3 linked regions of the Lytechinus pictus genome follow. The protein of the gene in region 3 purifies or fractionates together with the protein of the main gene of each other region. This does not show direct contact. Links are inferred from orthologs where the notes say so. Each region holds a gene or a part of one and is shown on either strand. Other genes may lie near its edges.

The links. Proteins that work in one complex are often made in the same cells at the same time.
Region 1: the proteins of exocyst complex component 3-like (region 3) and exocyst complex component 5-like purify together in Homo sapiens (affinity purification with mass spectrometry; 7 studies listed by BioGRID and IntAct, counting the BioPlex papers as one, with this or other methods). This does not show direct contact. The link is inferred for Lytechinus pictus from reciprocal best matches to the Homo sapiens genes EXOC3 and EXOC5.
Region 2: the proteins of exocyst complex component 3-like (region 3) and exocyst complex component 8-like purify together in Homo sapiens (affinity purification with mass spectrometry; 5 studies listed by BioGRID and IntAct, counting the BioPlex papers as one, with this or other methods). This does not show direct contact. The link is inferred for Lytechinus pictus from reciprocal best matches to the Homo sapiens genes EXOC3 and EXOC8.

The regions. Positions count from the first base shown.
Region 1 is NC_087251.1:13,169,332-13,176,483, reverse strand, and holds the start of exocyst complex component 5-like, read right to left. Parts: upstream 3,027-7,152; 5' UTR 2,895-3,026; coding exon 2,871-2,894; intron 1-2,870. Other genes in the region: neurofilament medium polypeptide-like, read right to left, coding at 6,154-6,720, 7,075-7,152. UniProt on the Homo sapiens protein: Component of the exocyst complex involved in the docking of exocytic vesicles with fusion sites on the plasma membrane.
Region 2 is NC_087258.1:23,503,474-23,510,798, forward strand, and holds the start of exocyst complex component 8-like, read right to left. Parts: upstream 3,027-7,325; 5' UTR 2,961-3,026; coding exon 2,906-2,960; intron 1-2,905. UniProt on the Homo sapiens protein: Component of the exocyst complex involved in the docking of exocytic vesicles with fusion sites on the plasma membrane.
Region 3 is NC_087245.1:22,446,125-22,453,111, reverse strand, and holds the start of exocyst complex component 3-like, read right to left. Parts: upstream 3,001-6,987; 5' UTR 2,871-3,000; coding exon 2,793-2,870; intron 1-2,792. UniProt on the Homo sapiens protein: Component of the exocyst complex involved in the docking of exocytic vesicles with fusion sites on the plasma membrane.

The DNA.
Region 1 (7,152 bases), on a different chromosome or scaffold from region 3:
ACCGTTGCGATTGTGTGCAACATATATTGTGACCAAATGACCGCAAACGATCGCAAGAGCGATTGTGAAAGCCCCTTTAAGGACATAGGTATATAAACATTCATGGTAGTGGGTCACCTGCACACACTTTATCTCAATCTCAGAACTATAACTTTTCCAGGCATGTTTATAGCGATCTGACTGATATCTTCTTGACGAGAACATCTACCAGGCTAAATGGAAAGTAAGGTTGTATTTGAATTTTTTCTTTTACTCTCCAAAGGCCAGTAGTCTTAAGATGATAGAGATGAGCTGGCCCTGAATACTAAAACTTCTAAGGCACGAGAGTGAAGACACCAGTGTTTAAGCTCTGAACATTAGCTATTTGGCTGCTACTGCATTATATAGATAAATAATGGTAGTAAAATACGAGCTGTGATTGGCTAGATTGGTGCCACGTGATCTCATTTCAAAAAGTTGTACAATATAACTTTTTATTTTTGGAGGGTAAACCCTGTGTTAAATGATTGGGGAGAATATCGATTAATGGTAATGTGCATTTATCCGGTTAGCCCTGCGCGTCTGCATTTACTAAGAGCATGCAATGCATTGAATCTTAATTTTTATAGTGACGTCACCTTTTCCTGACCCAAGCAAGAGTGTACCTTATGGACAGTAGGGGAGACCGGGGTTAGTTGGAACGCGGGGTAAGTTGAAACATTGTAATTTTCTTTAACATCTTTAAATAAATTTCTGCAATACTGCCCTCAATTTATTGTCATTATCAACAGCCATCCACCATATTACAGACAACACGTGTGCAACAAGCCTGGTGAAATTAGAAAGGAATTTTTGTTTTTTGACCTTCTGAGTAATTTTTTTCTCTTTCAGAAATGTTTTATTATCTCAGAGAAGTTTATAGATCAAGTTGGCCAGTTTGGGGGTATAATAGACTCTTGTACCAAGCTACAAAATAAGGAAGCAGAATCTTGTATCCTTATTTTAGACATAATAATATAGGATTTGTATAGCGCACATATCCACCTTGCTAGGTGCTCAAGGCACTCCTATATTACCCCGGCTAAGCTAGTCTACTGATTCTGGTGCGCACAGCTTTTTGAGGAATTACTTCTTGCCGGTACCCATTAACCTCACCTGGGCCGTGTGCAGCACAGTGTGGATAAATTTCTTGCTGAAGGAAAACACGTCATGGCTACGATTCGAACCCACAAACTTCTGTTTGAAAGGTGAGAGTCAGAACCACTAGACCATGACGTGCCCACTGCATAAACTGCACATTAACTTGGCCACATTTTGGGAAGGTTAGTAAGATAATTTTCTTCACTTGATAAAGAGTTGCAGCGGCACTCGAAAGCTCGTGAACTTGTAAGCTAGTGAACACTTTTTGCGAGAGTGATCACAAATTTCCTAGAAAGCTAGTGAACACTTTTTGCGAGAGTGATCACAAATTTGTTGACCATAGTAGATTGCGAGACAAATGAATACCCTCTAGCGATCGATTAAGAACATTATTATTCACTTGTACACAACCACCCATGGGTGCATTACTGCCGCCGTGTACAGGAAAATTGAAGGCACGGCGCATGCAAAATTGCAACAAACTCCCGCAAATTTCATAAGAGGATTTACAGAATCAAGTCCTCCTACGAAACTTACCAAACGATGTAAAGTCAATTCCCCCTAATATGATGAATATCCCTCAAATAGCGTCATTTAAGAGTATAATTTTCTTCTCGTTGACAAAATACGGAGCGAGCTTGCGATTTCCCAAATTTGCGTCTAATGAGCTAAAGAGGTCGCACGATTTATCTTCATATCAAAGACACTACAAGGGAAAGACTAAGCACAAAAACTATTTTACACGTAAATCGATGCAAAGCGTTACACAAAGTAAGTCGGCAAAGTGTCCAATCTTTTTACTGTAAAGACTTTGGTAGAACGTTAATGACAAACGAATGGTAGCACTTGCGGGGCTTCATTCAAGGTACATAGAATTTTCTATATTTTTTGTTTAATTGTCGCTTTGAATATTTTCCAAAAAGTATTATCGTCAGCAAAATAATATAAAAAGTATGTTTTATAAGTTATTGCATTTATTGAATATTGGTGTCTCTATTTTATCAAACAATCATTGGAATTGCGCATATACAATGAATCAAGAATCTAGTCTAAAAAATGCCGCCAAGCTGAATTAAGGTTGTGAATTGTACTAGCGCCACCAACGACCTTCCTTTTATTTCCGTCGAAGAGACACGCGAAGCCACTTTCCAGGCCGAGGTAAGCAATTTTGCTCTTTTTTATTTTAAAATTGAAAATGGAACACTTTTCACCAGAAAAAGCCCTGGTGAGTAACGCCAACGGAATGAGTTTCGGCTCACATTATTTGTGTTAAACTGTTATGAAGCAATGTTAACCGACAACTAAAAAATCCACTGCGTAGACACGAATCGTAGTGCATGGAACCTCGCAATACTTGTTAGTGAATAGTGGTATGGTACACAACTGTCTTCACAAGTGCTTGCGTACAAATGGACAAGAGGTTCCCTAAACAATTAAGCCAAAATTAAATTACTCCCAAATTGTTGTTAACTAAGTTTGGAGTGTTTGGGCATTCTAATTCTGACTCGATTAGTAATTAGTTAGGCCTATAGTCTTATGCTATTAGTTACCATGATACAGTCCACTGACTGGATCACCAAACTCACTGTCACTGTTTCATTCATTAGATACGACGGTACCTTATTCATTTCAATCATATTGATTACAAACAACAAAAAAACGTCACACTGACAGACTTCACTGTTCGGAACTCGAACCTAGAAATGCAAGACAAATATTATACTTTTTACTTCATCAAAAGGTCAACTTACAGCAAATTCTTTTAAAGAAGACATCTTCTTTTAGATTTAACAAGTTAGAGGTAAGACGAAGAATTAATGATGTTTTCAACGACTGATTTTCGCGTCTGCTTCTCACTCCCAAATGCAAGCAGAATCCCGGAAGACATTTTATGCGAGGGGAGCACTATAATTATAAAGCTTTGCCCAAAAGAGGGAGACACTACTGATTACTGTGAGTCGAGGTCAAGTGGTCTGTCTGATCCTTTCATGCCCCCGGGTTCAGACCTAGTATATTTATTCGGGATTTATCTACAAATTAGGATACCCTGTGGTATAGTGTGCCCATAATTCATGGCCCTGGGAAGCGGGGGTGCGGGGGTGAAGCACCCCCAAGATTTTCGTAAGGGGTGCTGGGTGTTTTATTCTCCATACATGTAGGAAGCACCCCCGGGAGGGCGTTTCATGAAAGTACTTGTCGGACGTTTTATCCGACAAGTCCCATTTTATCCGACAGTTACCATAGTAACAGTACCTCTCAGCCAATCAACATCAGAGAAAGATGTCAGATCTGACAACTTGTCGGATGAAAATGTTGATGAAACACTCCCCAGGAATTCTGGTAGGTGTGGAAAAATAATTAGTAGTGAGCCCCCGGCCCCCTTTTTTTTTTTTTTTTGCTTGTCAAATTTCTCTTGGACAAAATGACCTTCATGTTGTCGAGAAGCCTTTATTTTTTCTTTTTTTTAATTGCTTTTCAAATTCTCTGGACCTAGATGATCTTTCCAGGAGAATTGGTAGTCTAAAGAAAAAGAAGGAATAATTTATGTTTTTCATTTAATTTGTAGTGAAAACCCTTTTTGTTTTTATTTTTTTCCTTGTCAAATTTCTGTGCGACAAAATGACCTTCGTTTTGTTATATAACTTTTTTTTCAAATTTACATCGACACCCCTAGTAAAAAAATCATTCCCAGGGCCCTGCCATAATTCATTACTGAGAATAAGCATATTTTAAATGACCCTTTTTACCACCTTGACTCGTACAGGCCTATTATACATGCTGCCTTATAGACCCGTCTCTCTCTGTTAGTGTCCGTCTCTTTCTCAATTAGCCATTTCCCTCTAGTTTTCTTCTCTAGCTGTAGCCCCCCCCCCCTGTCGATGTCCTTCTGTCTTTCTAGATTTTTCTCTATGCATTCATCTGCACCCTTCCTCTATAAACCTCACTACCTATCCCCCCCTTCTCTAATTTATAGAATAAAACAAAGTAATAAAAGAATATATAAGCATGAAAGTTTCTACCATATTTTTATTGATATTGATCAAACATGTGGACTATCTACCAAGTATACATGTACATTCTAAAAAAAAGTATACATGTACATATACATACATATTTATGTACTTATATACTGTACTTGGTAGATAGTCCACATGTTGTTTCTCTCCCCCCCCCCCTCTCTCTCTCTCTCTCTGACTCTTTCACACTTTTCATATAAATATTTGCTGTTTTAGTTGTCATGCAACTAGCTCATCATCAATGAAACACTAACATTTTTTTTATTCATGTTGTTTATTTACAAAGTACAATAAGTTAAAATTCAAAGTTCATGTAGTATGATACAACATTACAAAATTGTGATCAAAGCATAACATACATTATCAAATTAGATTTGATTTGAAATAATTTGAAAAATGGCCATGATCATGATGAGTGTATAAGGCAATAAAAATATATCATCAATTTCAAATTGGTGCATGTGTAAATTTTCATGTACAAAATATAAATTTGCATCACAGTTTAACATAGTGATACATGACAGTGTATACTCCATATCAACAGTTTTTACAAATAAAAATCACATTTCTGGCAGATCATAAAAATACTTTGTATTTCATGAGTTAAGGACACTTGAATCATATTGACGACTTGTATGACAATCATACAGAATTTCTAGATAAAGCTTAACTTTATCAAGAATTACATACGGATTACAAGTTGTATTATTCAAGATCCCAAATCAAATACTATCTTTAAAATGTATCTATTTGTGACATAAAAAAAAAAGATTCTGAATATATAGGCCTAAAGGCTTTAAATCTCTTTTATTGATATCCAATGATGAAGACAGGTTGAAAGTCTACACTCTAAATTTCATGTATTAAAAATAAATCCAGATGTCGGGTGTAGGTGAGTTTTGAACAATGACAAGCTGCTGCTTGGATCCAGGCGAGGCATTTTTATTTTTAAATTGAGACATGCCTCTACAAGAAAATTAATTTTGGAATCCCTCTGTTATTATTTTCAAGATCTGTTATTTTTTTACTAAATCCAATAATGGATATATTGTCTTTAGAAAATTAATTTGTCATAATGCACAAAATAACAACAAATATGCATTCATAGAACAGAAAGCAATATATATAAACATCATAACTCTATGGAGATGGTCAAGATGAATATGTGAAAAATTAAAAAATATATGCATCTAACAAAATTCAGAAAGGTATCTATTTGCACTACCCATAATGAATGAAGGAGGGAAAGAGAGAGAGTAAGAGTAAGAGAAAGATATAAACATATTTTCTTTGAGTGAATAAGTAAAATCACAACATAATAACTAGAATCACTTGTAAGATATATATCTGACGGATTAATATCTGTGCATTGTATACATCTTTACAACACAATTACTCAAAACAGGAGGATATGGATAATCATATCTATCATTTAGGTTAAACATACAAGGATATTGTTAACCTGAACACAGATTCTTGTCCAAGAATCAGCAATTGTTTGAGGTTTTTATACTGTATTATGATATTCAAATATCAATCCGAACTAAGAAAGGCTAGATAGGTAATATTTTGTCAATCAAAGGCAGATGTAATGGCACTTTGTAAAAAAAAAAAAAAAAACCCAAAGCATGCTGATTGGTTGAATTGATAAGGCATAGTATTGCTTGGGTTAATAGACCTCTTATCTCAAAATCACTTATTTATTGTGAAGAAACAGATGACCAACTGAACACCAAAAGATATATACTGTCTAAGGTCTCTCTCTCTATCTTACAAAATGAAGCTACAACATCACCCCAAAGAAACAACTCGTTATTTCTGGTGTTATGGCATCAATGCTTTGTAACTTTCTTGAATATTTCAATTTTGAGTTACATAGTTTGTCATTTCAGGAGCAATACACCTCTCTGAAAGTTACGTCACTCAGCAACACATATATTCTAGATGGTGAATTATGGCTGTGATGGCTTTCCATAGTTTTTTTTAATAAATAATTTCCAATTCTTTATGCAGCTCATCATGATAAAGTTCCTTGCTCTTGATCCTCGTTGGGTTTCATCTCAATCTCCTTTCCATATTCTTCCACTTTACCTTCTTCCTCCTTCACCTCTTCTTTCACTTCACTCTCTGCTGACATGTCCTCCGATGTTGGTTCTGTACCACTCAGAGACTTCATCTCTGCTTCGGACTTCTCCTCCGTTTTTTCCTCTTTCTCCATCCCATCTTTGTTATCACTTTCATCTTCATCCTTCTCACCCTCTTCATTCTCAGGAGTCTCTTTCTCTGCAGATGCCTCTCCTTGGGCCTCCTTATCCTTCTCCATTTTCTTTTCCTCCATCTTCTTCTCTTCCTTCTCTTCATCCATCTTGGCTTGATCTTCCTTTTCAGTAGTTGATTTCTCCTCCACCTTCTTCTTGGTCGGTGGTTGTGCTTTTGAGGTTTCTTTTGAGGGTTGGGCTGGTTTGGGTGGAGTCGCCTTTCGTGGGGGTGTGGTGGTTTTCCTGCTGATGGCCGACGCCCCTACTCCAGTCTTGGTTCCAGGAGCTTGTCTGGACTTTCCAGAATTTCCAGGAGAGTTGGTAGTCTAAAGAAAAAGAGGGAATATTTTATGTTTATCATGATTATGATTTAAAAGAGATGGAACTAGACAGCTTCAATATTAAGCTCACAAGGTTAATTTTTGTAATAATCTGATACAGAAAATCATCAATTTAAATGAAATAAAAAGCTTTCATATACCAATCATGTAGTAACCTTCACAATAATTATTATGGAATGGTATTTAAGGAGTATGAATAATAGAATTACAATTTGATATTTTCATGAAAGAAGATTAATTAGTATTTTTTCACATCCACCTGTCTATTTGCAGGAAAGTAAAAAGTTTTATTCACTACAGGTTTAGAAAAAATACCTTTTTAATAGACTAATTAATTACCTGTTTAGACTTTGCTCCTGCTGATCTGTTTGGAGATCCTGGAGTACCCTTTCTGGCGTCATTGCTCTTTAGGGTACT
Region 2 (7,325 bases), on a different chromosome or scaffold from region 3:
TCCACCGACCACGGAGTTAGTTCCAATCTTACAATTTTTTACCGTTTCACGAAGGGCTTCCTAACTAGTATCCCTTGATATCGATAATATCGGTAGAAAGAGCAGACGAGACGTAGCCTTAGTCATAAAATAGCATTATTTTTTAAAGCAAAAATACGATAAAACTGCAATTATTGTGATTAATTTGGAAATACATCTAATCAAAATGATAGCAGAGGCAAAATATGTACCATGCATACTTAAACCATGAAGACTGGAGCATTCAATTGCTGAGAAAATGAAATTATGAATAATTCATTTAATGACTAAAAAATCACATGTGGACATTGAGATGGGTATCCCCGGGATACTAAATTTTGATAGCTTACGAAAGTAAACAACAATTGTTTTCTTTGTAAAATAATAATAATTATACGTTTATTTATGGTTCCAAACATCATCAAAATATAGTTTAACATATAAATTTTTATAATTTTATATACCGAAACACACGATTTGACAAATTCTTTGCATAAATTAGAGATAGAATTTATCAAAATGTTGATAAGGGTCTGAAAACAACGAATACGAGTCCAGTTATGGATGACCTGACATGGTAGAATCTTTATCGATTCAATTATTTTACTTTTTCAAAATGAATGGTTTTGTTGCGTTTTACCAACAGTTTTTAAACTTTCTGTGCATTACAATTATTATTGTCTTGAATGATCTACATGTATCTCACCTGTTTTGCAATGTAATTTCAACTTCTATGAATGATTACGTAAGATTATAATTTTCAAATTTCGAGGCACTTTTGCCTGTCATAGTCTACCCACGTGATGTCACTATGTCATTACGAAATAAGTTATGACAGGTTCGGAGGTGTCATAAATATTTAGTGAGGTTGTTGTCCCCGATCTTGGCAAAGAGGGCTTCGTGAAACGGTTAGCGGACAAGTAGCTCACTATCTTCGATTTAGTCAAGAAGTTAGACTTAGACTTATGACGGTGTTGAGAAACGGGCCCCAGGGCCAGGCCAGGTGCTTAACCTGGTCCATGTTATGTTAACTGGGACCAGCCAGACTGGGTGTCCGATATTAGGGCACTTTACTCTACTTCTTCACAAATAAATTAAAAATCAATTAATAATACTTCGAGCCACTCCAAACGTAGCATACTCCACTCCTAGTACCAATGAGGTCCAAACATTAGCATGTATGGACCTCATAGGCGACAATGCGTTAAAAACAGGTTAGAACTTCTAACCGTACTGTTTCCTGCACCCAAGTATGATATTACTCCCAAAATATGAGTTTTGTCCTCGTTTGTTTATCATTTATTAAAAGATTGCCCATTGAATATATTCCTATTCCTAATTTGAATTTAATAAAATAAAGGGAAACTTACATTTGAGTCATTTTTCGATCTTTTTTTGGCAGTCAGTCCGGTCACCGTCGAGTGCGATCAAAGCGGTATGAAGCTGATTTTCAGATCACGTGATACGTTAACCCAGAGAGCTCCCGCCCGTGCAGCGGGCGGGAGCCCAGAAGCTTACCGTGTATTTTACCATTGCCACCGGACTAGGGTGATTTATGGTCTAAATATTTCTCCAAATGAATTGTGAAAACGGAAAGTATACAATTACCACGATTATATGGATGAAGGTCCAACGAGTGGCAGATTCCTGACATCTGGGCACAGTCTGGAACCTCAAAAAAACGAAAAGTTCTCTCCTTCTACCCCGTCTCGATCGGCCATTTTGTTAAAAATCGTAACAAAATGGCCGATCGAGACTGGGTAGAAGGAGAGAACTTTTCGTTTTTTTGAGGTTCCAGACTGTGCCCAGATGTCAGGAATCTGCCACTCGTTAGACCTTCATCCATATAATCGTGGTAATTGTATACTTTCCGTTTTCACAATTCATTTGGAGAAATATTTAGACCATAAATCACCCTAGTCCGGTGGCAATGGTAAAATACACGGTAAGCTTCTGGGCTCCCGCCCGCTGCGCGGGCGGGAGCTCTCTGGGTTAGTGATACGTGTGGTCATCACCTGATCAATCGACTATCCTTTTTTAAAGACCGCAACAATTATAAATTTTATTATAAAATATATATAGAATAAATTATTGCATAATATTATGTATATTTCTACAATTAAAAAATATTTTGTGATATAAATTTAATATTTGACGTAAAAATCGCTATTGAACAAAATATTTATTAAAAAATAAAAAATCAAACAAAATAAAAAAGCCTTGGACACAGTGCAAAAAACCTAACGATTTGGCCGCGTTGTTAACAACTATCGTAAGGGGCGCTTTATTTATAAATAAAAAAAAATGTACAGCTGTCTACCGCGACGTGGTTTGTCGCAAGATTTGGGACAAATCCGTGGGAATTCTGGAGAAAATACATCAAAAGAACTGGTGAGTACCGTTTAAACATTATCAAATTACTAAATAGATTATACATAGGCCTACCTTGTAGATTTAGTTTTTAATTTAAGGTGATATTAGTGCTTAGTTCTAAGCTAGGGAGGCCCAAACGCGCGTGAGCGGAGTCCCACTTTATTAACACGGGTAAGTATTGCGGTGTCGCCTAGAGTGGCATACTCTTCAAGTTAGCTTGATGTGCCAATCGCGGTATTTTGCTGACTGAACTATACAGATCGGTGCAACTCAGCTCACGGATCCGGCGATTTAGCTCATGTAGTATTATAATGCATACGTCATGGAAACATGATATCGCCTATTCACTTGCATTCATTAAAAATTGCACACGACAGAAACTGTAATGCCGTCTCCTCTGTGCTAGACCGAGTTTGAGGTGGAGTCACTCATTCATTCTTTTTATTTGAGTACCAAACCAAGATCATCCGAGCGAAAAGGTAACCTAATTTACCGATTAATACGTTATACTTACATTCGTCTGCGTTGAAATTATCTTTCGACAATTTGTTGACAATTTGTTCTGCCATCTTCCTCCTTACCCCCTTTTTAGGGCCGGACAAGTATGTATGTTACATGTACCGGTAGTCTTTATCACGCAAACACTAAATTGTTAGACCTTTTTTTAATTATGCTGATCAGATATAAAAAAATATATATTTAAACTAAATATAAAAAATACAGTACTCTAGATCTACTCGTAATTCAAATTCGATAGAATCTTAGTATTTGATATAATTTTCCATTTGACTCCTTTAGTATTTGCATTTTATTTCTTACAAAAAGGGAAACAGTATAGATAGCTAGACTACTAATTATTATTGACTTCCCTTTGGCCTTTGTTGTCCCGACGAAGCCTATGTCAAGTGAGCCAACAATAAGCCAGCCAACAGCAAGCCAGCCAACAGTTCCAGCCAACAATATCGCGATATAAGATAGATCAGATACAGGATTTTGCGCACGAAGAGAGGCGTGCATTCTTGTACAAATCAAACAAACGGGGTCAGGGCTACACGGACCTAATCACTAGTGGCAGGCCATAGATATTCATTCGAGCCAAAAATCAACGGGCTAGTGTTTTAGTTTTAGTAGCCCACACCCCTATATACTCTATGTGTTTTCGTATATTGAGGAGTAAATTTCAACTAAAAGTCCTCTTTATAAAATACAATTGGAAGATTGCTCCTGAAATATATTTTGGGTGTGTGTAGGGGGGTTTCCCTTCTTTCAATTTGTAAAGAAAAACAACAGGCTAGTGTTTTAGTTTTAGTAGCCCACACCCCTATATACTCTATGTGTTTTCGTATATTGAGGAGTAAATTTCAACTAAAAGTCCTCTTTATAAAATACAATTGGAAGATTGCTCCTGAAATATATTTTGGGTGTGTGTAGGGGGGTTTCCCTTCTTTCAATTTGTAAAGAAAAACAACGGGCTAGTGCTTTAGTTTTAGTAGCCCACACCCCTATATACTCTATGTGTTTTCGTATATTGAGGAGTAAATTTCAACTAAAAGTCCTCTTTATAAAATACAATTGGAAGATTGCTCCTGAAATATATTTTGGGTGTGTGTAGGGGGGTTTCCCTTCTTTCAATTTGTAAAGAAAAACAACGGGCTAGTGCTTTAGTTTTAGTAGCCCACACCCCTATATACTCTATGTGTTTTCGTATATTGAGGAGTAAATTTCAACTAAAAGTCCTCTTTATAAAATACAATTGGAAGATTGCTCCTGAAACATATTTTGGGTGTGTGTAGGGGGGTTTCCCTTCTTTCAATTTGTAAAGAAAAACAACAGGCTAGTGTTTTAGTTTTAGTAGCCCACACTCCTATATACTCTATGTGTTTTCGTATATTGAGGAGTAAATTTCAACTAAAAGTCCTCTTTATAAAATACAATTGGAAGATTGCTCCTGAAATATATTTTGGGTGTGTGTAGGGGGGTTTCCCTTCTTTCAATTTGTAAAGAAAAACAACAGGCTAGTGTTTTAGTTTTAGTAGCCCACACCCCTATATACTCTATGTGTTTTCGTATATTGAGGAGTAAATTTCAACTAAAAGTCCTCTTTATAAAATACAATTGGAAGATTGCTCCTGAAATATATTTTGGGTGTGTGTAGGGGGGTTTCCCTTCTTTCAATTTGTAAAGAAAAACAACGGGCTAGTGTTTTAGTTTTAGTAGCCCACACCCCTATATACTCTATGTGTTTTCGTATATTGAGGAGTAAATTTCAACTAAAAGTCCTCTTTATAAAATACAATTGGAAGATTGCTCCTGAAATATATTTTGGGTGTGTGTAGGGGGGTTTCCCTTCTTTCAATTTGTAAAGAAAAACAACGGGCTAGTGCTTTAGTTTTAGTAGCCCACACCCCTATATACTCTATGTGTTTTCGTATATTGAGGAGTAAATTTCAACTAAAAGTCCTCTTTATAAAATACAATTGGAAGATTGCTCCTGAAACATATTTTGGGTGTGTGTAGGGGGGTTTCCCTTCTTTCAATTTGTAAAGAAAAACAACAGGCTAGTGTTTTAGTTTTAGTAGCCAAATTGAAAGAAGGGAAACCCCCCTACACACACCCAAAATATATTTCAGGAGCAATCTTTCAATTGTATTTTATAAAGAGGACTTTTTGTTGAAAATTACTCCTCAATATACATAAAAACATAGAGTATATAGGGGTAAGGGCTACTAAAACTAAAGCACTAGCCCGTTGTTTTTCTTTACAAATTGAAAGAAGGGAAACCCCCCTCTACACACCCAAAATATATTTCAGGAGCAATCTTCCAATTGTATTTATAAAGAGGACTTTTTGTTGAAATTTACTCCTCAATATACGAAAAAACATAGAGTATATAGGGGTGTGGGCTACTAAAACTAAAGCACTAGCCCGTTGTTTTTCTTTACAAATTGAAATAAGGGAAACCCCCCTACACACACCCAAAATATATTTCAGGAGCAATCTTCCAATTGTATTTAATAAAGAGGACTTTTAGTTGAAATTTATTCCTCAATATATATAAAAACGTGGAATATATAGGAATGTATATGAGCGTGGGCTACTAAAACGAAGGCACTAGCCCCTTGTTTTTCTTTACAAATTGAAAGAAGGGAAACCCCCCTCTACACACCCAAAATATATTTCAGGAGCAATCTTCCAATTGTATTTTATAAAGAGGACTTTTAGTTCAAATTTACTCCTCAATATATATAAAAACGTGGAATATATAGGGGTGTGGGCTACTAAAATTAAAGCACTAGCCCGTTGTGTTTCTTCACAAATTGAAAGAAGGGAAACCCCCCTACACACACCCAAAATAAATTTCAGGAGCAATCTTCCAATTGTATTTTATAAAGAGGACTTTTAGTTCAAATTTATTCCTCAATATATATAAAAACGTGGAATATATAGGAATGTATATGAGCGTGGGCTACTAAAACGAAGGCACTAGCCCCTTGTTTTTCTTTACAAATTGAAAGAAGGGAAACCCCCCTCCACACACCAAAAATATATTTCAGGAGCAATCTTCGAATTGTGTTTTATAAAGAGGACGTTTGGTTGAAATTTACTCCTCAATACACGAAAAAACATAGAGTATATAGGGGTGTGGGCTACTAAAACTAAAGCACTAGCCCATTGTTTTTCTTTACAAATTGAAAGAAGGGAAACCCCCCTACACACACCCAAAATATATTTCAGGAGCAATCTTCCAATTGTAGTTTATAAAGAGGACTTTAGTTGAAATTTACTCCTCAATATACGAAAACACATAGAGTATATAGGGGTGTGGGCTACTAAAATTAAAGCACTAGCCCGTTGTTTTTCTTTACAAATTGAAAGAAGGGAAACCCCACCCTGACCCCGTTTGTTTGATTTGTACAAGAATGCACGCTTCTCTTCGTGCGCAAAATCCTGTATCTGATCTATCTTACATCGCGATATTGTTGGCTGGAACTGTTGGCTGGCTTGCTGTACTTGTTGGCTAGCTTATTGTTGGCTGACTCTACTCCGGCCCCGACGAAATACGCTGTATTCGGCACACTTTTTAGCCGGCCCATTGTGAATAGAACTAAAAGAAAGAGGGAAAATCAAGAATAGAGATTGGGTGAGAACTTGAAATTATCTCTTTTACCTTAACCTTTCACTGTTAAAATCTTAAAATTTGCCCAAAACATAAAAATTACTTCAAATAATCGATCACGTGTAGGCGAAGATCTCGGCGTGTGCGATTTTTAGGCACTAATGTAGCATTTGAATTTCACGTTTTCATGTTCGAGGTGTTGTGATTACATATGAGCTTAATTGACGGGTAAATCATGCAGGTGATTCAGCACATCATTACGCGAGTTGAGTGTTTGTGTGTTGGGGGGGGGGGGGGTGTTTGTCTGTACTCCTTTGATGGTAAGTTGTACTTGTAGATTCCCTTCCTCTGAGGTGCGGAGATCGGTGGAAAACCGCAGTTGGTTGTAAATAGGCATCGTCATTCACCACAAGATGGCGCTCTCGCGCTCGTACTATATTTTGTACGTAGTGTGCGGAGGATTTTGCTGCAGCCGCGGTGCTTCTCTAGCTATCGGTGATTCGACATGTGCGAATTGATACCATTCTCATTTAAAAGTGATTGGGTCGTTTTCCAAAATCTCGGCATATCATTAACCTAAACTATTTTCTCTTTCGTGCGATATGCAGTTTTCCATGTTTACATTGATCCAACCCCTCGCGAGCGACTCAACCCGACAAGGTAAGTCAAAATTTCTTCACTTTTCTCACTAAGTTTGTGTAATTTGTACACTTATCCATATCTGGCAACATTTGGCAATTAAAAGACTGTATTAGAAAGAATTCAGAAATGTTTTTTGGTTTTTTGAAACCAAAATCAATCGTACTCACCAATGCTC
Region 3 (6,987 bases):
GAAATAATTTGTCTGCTGATAGACTGAAGGTACATGTATGTACATTAAAACCCATTTCATTTTTCTGAGAAAATGACATTTTTCAATTCACGATACATGGGAATCTGCTCACATATGATATCACAAATAAAAAATTCTAATAAATTTTTAAATCTTTGATTGATTTTCCCCAAACCTTCACCAATATTTTTCATTACTTCTTTCTGTTATATTCACAATAAACTTTTTGTTGGGTGAACCTCCCCTTTAAAGCGACCTTTCATTGACAAATAATGGGGAAATCAAGGCTAATCTCAGAACAGAGAAGGAATTCAAGCCTTTCACTTGGCTGCATGCCTGGGAGTTTTATGTAATAGACGCCGTTATGTCTGGGAGGTCGACTGTATAGCTGAGCAATAGTTAGTAGACTAACCGACCAGACGTAAACTGCGTGTTTTCACTTTGAAACATGTAATTTCACAGAGGTTATTAGCAATCAAGAGACCTGCTAAGAGTCTAGGAATTGGGATTGTTGGAAACTAGAACTGCGATGACCCGAAGTAACGATCGCGAGTTCGGTCAAATTTAAGCTGTCCTGACTTTTACACATTAGTCCGATTGGCTCTCATGACCGACGGATTATCTTATGTAAGTCAACTGGCCTTTTGCAAATTTCGTATTGATTCAATTTCCCCCTGATTTGTCAATTGCAACGTTACGCGACGCTCGCGTCCGTAACGTTGGGGAAGTACAATAAGAAACAAGATGGCGGCGTAAACATCGGGCAAGTCTCTTCCGTCTTTTCACGATATTTTTCTCATTTTTTTTATGAATTCTTGTTTAAAAATAACAACGAGAGCGTAGAAATGTCGGAAATGAAGTTTTATCCCATGTACATGATTTAGAGCTAGATCTTTTAGAAGGAAAGTAGAAATCTCGGGGGTGAAAGTTTCAGGTTTTGGGGTCCTTCGTGTAGGTGAATAGGAAGGACTCCCTGGCTTCATTGAGAGTAAGCCTACGTTAGTAAATGATTTTTACTCTCAAGAAGCCGCCTGGCTAAGTCAGACTCACTGATCTGTGATTCGTGCTGGATGGCAACACTGAGGGAAAAACAAAGATGAAACACTGTCTCCAAAGTTACGGACGCTAGCGTCGCGTAACGTTGGGGAAGTACAATAAGAAACAAGATGGCGGTGTAAACATCGGGCAAGTCTCTTCCGTCTTTTCACAATATTTTATTCATTTTTTCATGAATTCTTGTTTAAAAATAAAACCGAGAGCGTAGAAATGTCGGAAATGAAGTTTTATCCCATGTACATGATTTATGGCTAGATGTTTTAGAAGGAAAGTAGAAATCTTGGGGGCGAAAGTTTCAGATTTTTTGGCGGTACACGCAGATGAATAGGAAGGAGTCCCTGGCTTCATTGAGAGTAAGCATACGTTAGTAAATGATTTTTACTCTCAAGAAGCCTCCTGGCTACCCAAGACTACCCCAGGCTACCTTGGCTCAGGCCTGGATTTTGAAATTAAAAAAGAGCCCTGGCCCACTCACACTATTGCGAGGTTAGTATATATGCTTTACGAACCTCGCACAACCAACGTGTTTTTGTAGTGGATTTTAGAGTTGTCGTTAACATCGCTTCATAACGTGAATGATATTAGCCGAAACCATTCCGCTACTCACCAGGGCTTTTTCTGGTAGAAAGCGTTCCTTTATCAATTTTTAACATATTTTTTAATTTTAAAAAAAAAAAGAGCAAAATCGCTTACCTCCGCCTGGAAAGTGGCTTCGCACGTCTCTTCCACGGAAATAAAAGGAAGGTCGTTGGTGGCGCTAATACAGTTCGCAACCTTAATTCAGCTTGGTGGTATTTTTTAAACTAGATTCATGATTTATTGTATGCGCAATTCCAATAATTGTTTGATAAAATAGAGACCCCAATAAATGCAATAACTTAAAAAACATACTTTTTTATTATTTTTGCTGACGATAATACTTTTTGGAAAATATTCAAAACGATGACAAATTAAACAAAAAATGTAGAAAATTCTATGTACCTTGAACAAAGCCCCGCAAGTGCTACCGTTCGTTTGTCAATTAACGTTCCACCAAAGTCTTTACAGTAAAAAGATTGGAAACTTTGCCGACTTCGCGTAATGCTTTGCATCGATTTACGTGTAAGATAATTTCTGTGTCTAGTCTTTCAATTGTAGTGTCTTTGATATGAAGATAAATCGCGCGCCCTCTCTCGCTCATTAGACGAAAAATTTGAGAGCTAGAAAGGTGGCTTTCGTATTTTGTCAACGAGAAGAAAAATCAACGCTTGAGTTAAATGACACATTTTGAGGGATATTCATCAAATTATGAGGAATTGACTTCACATCGTTTTGTAAGTTTCGTAGGAGGACTTCATTCTGTAAGTCCTCGTATTAATTTTTCATAAATTAACGTTATTTGTTGAAATAATGCGCCGTGCCTTCAATTATTCTGTAGTCGGCAGCTGAGATGTAGCCGTGGGTGCCCTGGCCTGGAAAATCCCAGTTTTTTAATTGCCATATGTGGAGAAATCATCGTAAAATTGTATATATTATAAAGGATAATCCTACTTTTCAGACCAACGCCATAACTGCTACCCTTGTTTACAACGTGGCACAACCAATGCAAAATATCCAGCGACTAAGCTCATGTGCATTTAGCACTATGCTATCACGAAAATGTGTCAGAAGACTATGCGACCAGTGCACACAAGAATCGCGTGCGCCTGTGATACCTGTGTGCCGATTATGGCTGATACAAAGTTTTCGTGTCTCACCTTTAACATGTTTTCAACACGTTTAGAAGCCGATTCAATGGCATCTATTTCAGCCTTTCCAAAGTCCTCACCAAGCATGATGAATATAGATAAAAATGATAAAAACTGAGAAGAATGACCGCCAGAAATACCCTTTTTATTAGGGTAAATTTACTCGACCCCAAAATTAAAATAGTACACACCCCGATATGGTATCGTAAAAACAGCCTAGTTCGAGAAAAAAAAATGGGGAATAGGGGTAAAAAAATTAGTACATGAGCATTTTTGTATGTTTTGTATTTTCGCTGATATGTTGATTTTCTTTTAGTTCGTGTAGCTGAAAGAAAATTTTACCAAAAGGAAAAAAGAAAAGCTGAATTTTATTGCATTTCATGTACAATCAAATTACCTAATAATATACTAGTAGTCATCAATTACCCGATGACTGGGGTAGAGGTCGATCATATTTTGGGGGCGAGAAACTGGACAAATACAACAATCGGTTGCTTCATATATATATTTTTTACAGTCATTTACAATATTCACTTATGCTCTTCAAACACAGTGACGAATAAGTATCAAAATAAAGGGTAATTATCATGCTTCAAAGTGACTTTATTTTGAAAATAAAAAATCGTTACAGAAAACACTCAGGCGTGTCCTAAGGCCCCTCTCTCTCTCTCTCAAACTGTCAATTTATAAAGTCAAATGAGGGTTTTGCCATTTGTTTTTTATTATTATCATTTTATCATTATCTTAATCCCTCTTGGCTTGAGGTCTTTTACTGGCCTTACTTACACTAACTTCCCTTTGTGTCTGCCTACTCCTTTTCTTTCATCCCCTTCACTAACCTGATTGGTCTTCTCTACTCACTAATGCCCCTTTTGTCTCCTTGTTTCTAGTGTTGCTGTAGCTTGTTTGTGGTCTATATTATGGTTGTTCCACTTTATATGTTTGTCATTTTGCCTCCGACGAAGATTCTGCTAGGATCGAAAGCTTAGGCCCCTTTTTTACTTTCTAATTCGTTTTTTAGGGTTGACTCTGTGCGTTTCATAATATTTCATTGGTTTTTAGTAAAGAATCTTTTAATATTAATTGATCATTAAACAACAAAAATCACTTCTGAAGCAAACTAAGATACCCTGGTGGTGAAATAATTGAGAATTTTCATATTTTCAAAACTTACTGGTCAAAGGTTTAATGTCTCTTTTTTTTTTTTTTTTTTTTCTTCTTACATTTTATCTTTGATAATTCAATTATACCATTCAAAATGATCCTGAAGTTAAAGGGGAATCCAACCCAAATAAAAACTTGTTTTTATAAGAAAAAGAAAAATCAGACAAGTTGATAGGTGAAAGTTTGAACAATATTGGACAAACAACAAGAAAGTTATGAATTTTTAAAAGTTGTAAATATTGGTAATCACTATACCCATGGAGACTTCAAATTGGCCGCATATGGGATGTCATAGTGATGTAAGGCAAGGACTACTCTTCCATGTACTCCAATACATATTATGGCTAAAATGTCATTTTCCCCAAAAGTTTTATTTCAAATTATATTTTTCTTTCATGAGGACATAAAACAATATACTACCTGGATTATAATTAGATTACTGCCCCAGGGGAATGGGTACGTAGAAGAAAACCACAAATCCCTGATAATAAAGTACATGGCTTATGGGAAAGTTGTCCTTGCCCCTTGTCATAATTTACTTACCCAGTTGCCAATTTGAAATCTACATACTATTAGTGATCTCAATTTTAAAGCAGCTATAATTTTCTTATTGCTTGTCCGATTTCTTTCAAACTTTCGCCATTCTGTTTAATTTATTTTTTTCCTTTCCAACACAACATTTTATGGCCAAAGCTGGATTTCCCTTTAAGCATATCGTTTCGGTGAACAAAAATAATAAAAGAGAAAACAATTGTGATAATTGAAATCGAGATGAGACCACAGACATAGAGGACAAGCACATAATACCTTGTAAACAAAAAATGCCATTTCTGTATATATGATTTGATTCTCGATGAGTGTGGGCCTAAATTATTTTTCTTTACAAATGTAAAAATAAATGAATTTGAAATTTGAATTTGAAGTTGATTTCGGAATTTGAAACTATGAATATAAGCCATAACTGCAGGCCTATCACCTATGTGCCAAATATAAAAAAAAACCAATGTCTCACCTTACCTCACTTTCCTTATATTAGAAGTACAGTGGGAGGAGTATTAGAAGGAGTAATAGTAGCAACAGCAGTAGTAGTAGTCAGTGGCGGACCGTGACCCGGAGGAGACAAAGCATTGGAGGGGCACAGCATTGTTCACAAACAATTCAGTGCCCCCCCCCCCCAATGCCTTGTCTCCTCCGGGTCACGGTCCGCCACTGGTAGTAGTAGTAGTAGTAGTAGTAGTAGTAGTAGTAGTAGTAGTAGTAGTAGTAGTAGTAGTAGTAGTAGTAGTAGTAGTAGTAGTAGTAGTAGTAGAAGAAGTAGTAGTATTAGTAGTAGTAGTATAGTAGTAGTAGTAGAAGTAGTAGTAGTAGTATAGTAGTAGTAGTAGTAGTAGTAGTAGTAGTAGTAGTAGTAGTAGTAGTAGTAGTAGTAGTAGTAGTAGTAGTAGTAGTAGTAGTAGTAGTGGTGGTGGTGGTGGTGGTGGTGGTGGTGGTGGTGGTGGTGGTGGTGGTGGTGGTGGTGGTGGTAGTAGTAGTAGTGGTGGTGGTGGTGGTGGTGGTATAGTGCTAGTAGTGGTGGTAGTAGTGGTAGTATAGTATTGGTAGAAGTAGTAGTAGTAGTAGTAGTAGTAGTAGTAGTAGTAGTAGTAGTAGTAGTAGTAGTAGTAGTAGTAGTAGTAGTAGTAGTAGTAGTAGTAGGTATAGTAGTAGTAGTAGTAAGACTACTGTAGTTGTAATAGTAGCCACGGGAGAAGCCAGTAGCAGCAGAAGTATATCTTGATCTCTAATAACAAATTTTACAGAGTAATAGAATAAAATAAAATAGAAAAAAACCTTATGATATTTAGGGACAACTAAAAATTGTTAATAATCAATGGATAGGCGAGTTATGCAGGGGCCACGAAAGCGGGGGTTGGAGCCGGGGGATTAACACCTCTCCCCCACCCCCCCCCCCCCCCTCCGTCCCCGCCCACCAATTTTCAAATTCAGATTTTATACGATACATGTTCAGCCCCCTTATACTTCCTCAAGTCGTTCCATATAGCCCACCACCCATGTTTTGATAAAATCATTTGTATCATGCTTTAATCATTGACAAGAGATATTTCTCTTATTTATGAAGCTAATTTAATCCCGCAAGCTATATCATATCGATATAGCGCCATCATAAAGGCGAAATGTTTCTTTACACTTATTGATGCCCAATTAATCATGGGAACAGAAAAAATATCAGGCAGTACAGAACAACAGAAGTAAGATAAAATAAAGGATATTTCCAAAAATAAACACCGCAATGATTTAGTTTTAAGATTACCAATGTCTATTTTCAACAGTTATTGAAATTCAGTCGAAAATAGTCCATGATATGCGGTTTAGGCCTAGTCTTCGCCAAAAAAATTGTATATCGTTTTCAAAATATCTGCCTATAAACGATAATTTATCTACTCCTTTGTCATAATATAAAAATAATCACTTCCTAATATTAAATATTATCTGTAAAGTCGTTCATATATCGGTATGAAATTATGTGATACAGCATAGGCGGATCCAAGGGGACCTGAGGGGCCACCCCCCCCCCCCCCCCCCCCCCCATGGGCGGAGCAAAAACAATGACAAAAAGGGGGGAAGAAAGAAAAAAAAGAAGGGGAAAGAAAGGAGGAATACGAGTGAATAAAATAAGGTGATGGGAAGACTTGGATAATGTTTAAAAATATCTTTCATGTCACTGCATTAAATTTTCGCTCGCGCTTCGCGCTCGCATTGCCTGTTTGATGAGATATATATCTTGCTCAATATGTAGCTTAAAATATCAAGTTTTGAAGCCAATATGCAAAACATATTTCAGCTCGGACATCTAGCTTTCATTATTTTGTTTGATTTACAAATTGATTTTTTTACGTGCTTTTTAAAATGTCCGTTTTATAGTGTGAATATCAACATTCTCAGCTTGCGCTGTGCGCTCGCGTGATTTGATTTGCCAAGTAGGACTACCTATTGTCGTGTCTTCCATAAGTTCTCAAAATATCATTTTACGGATGTCTGA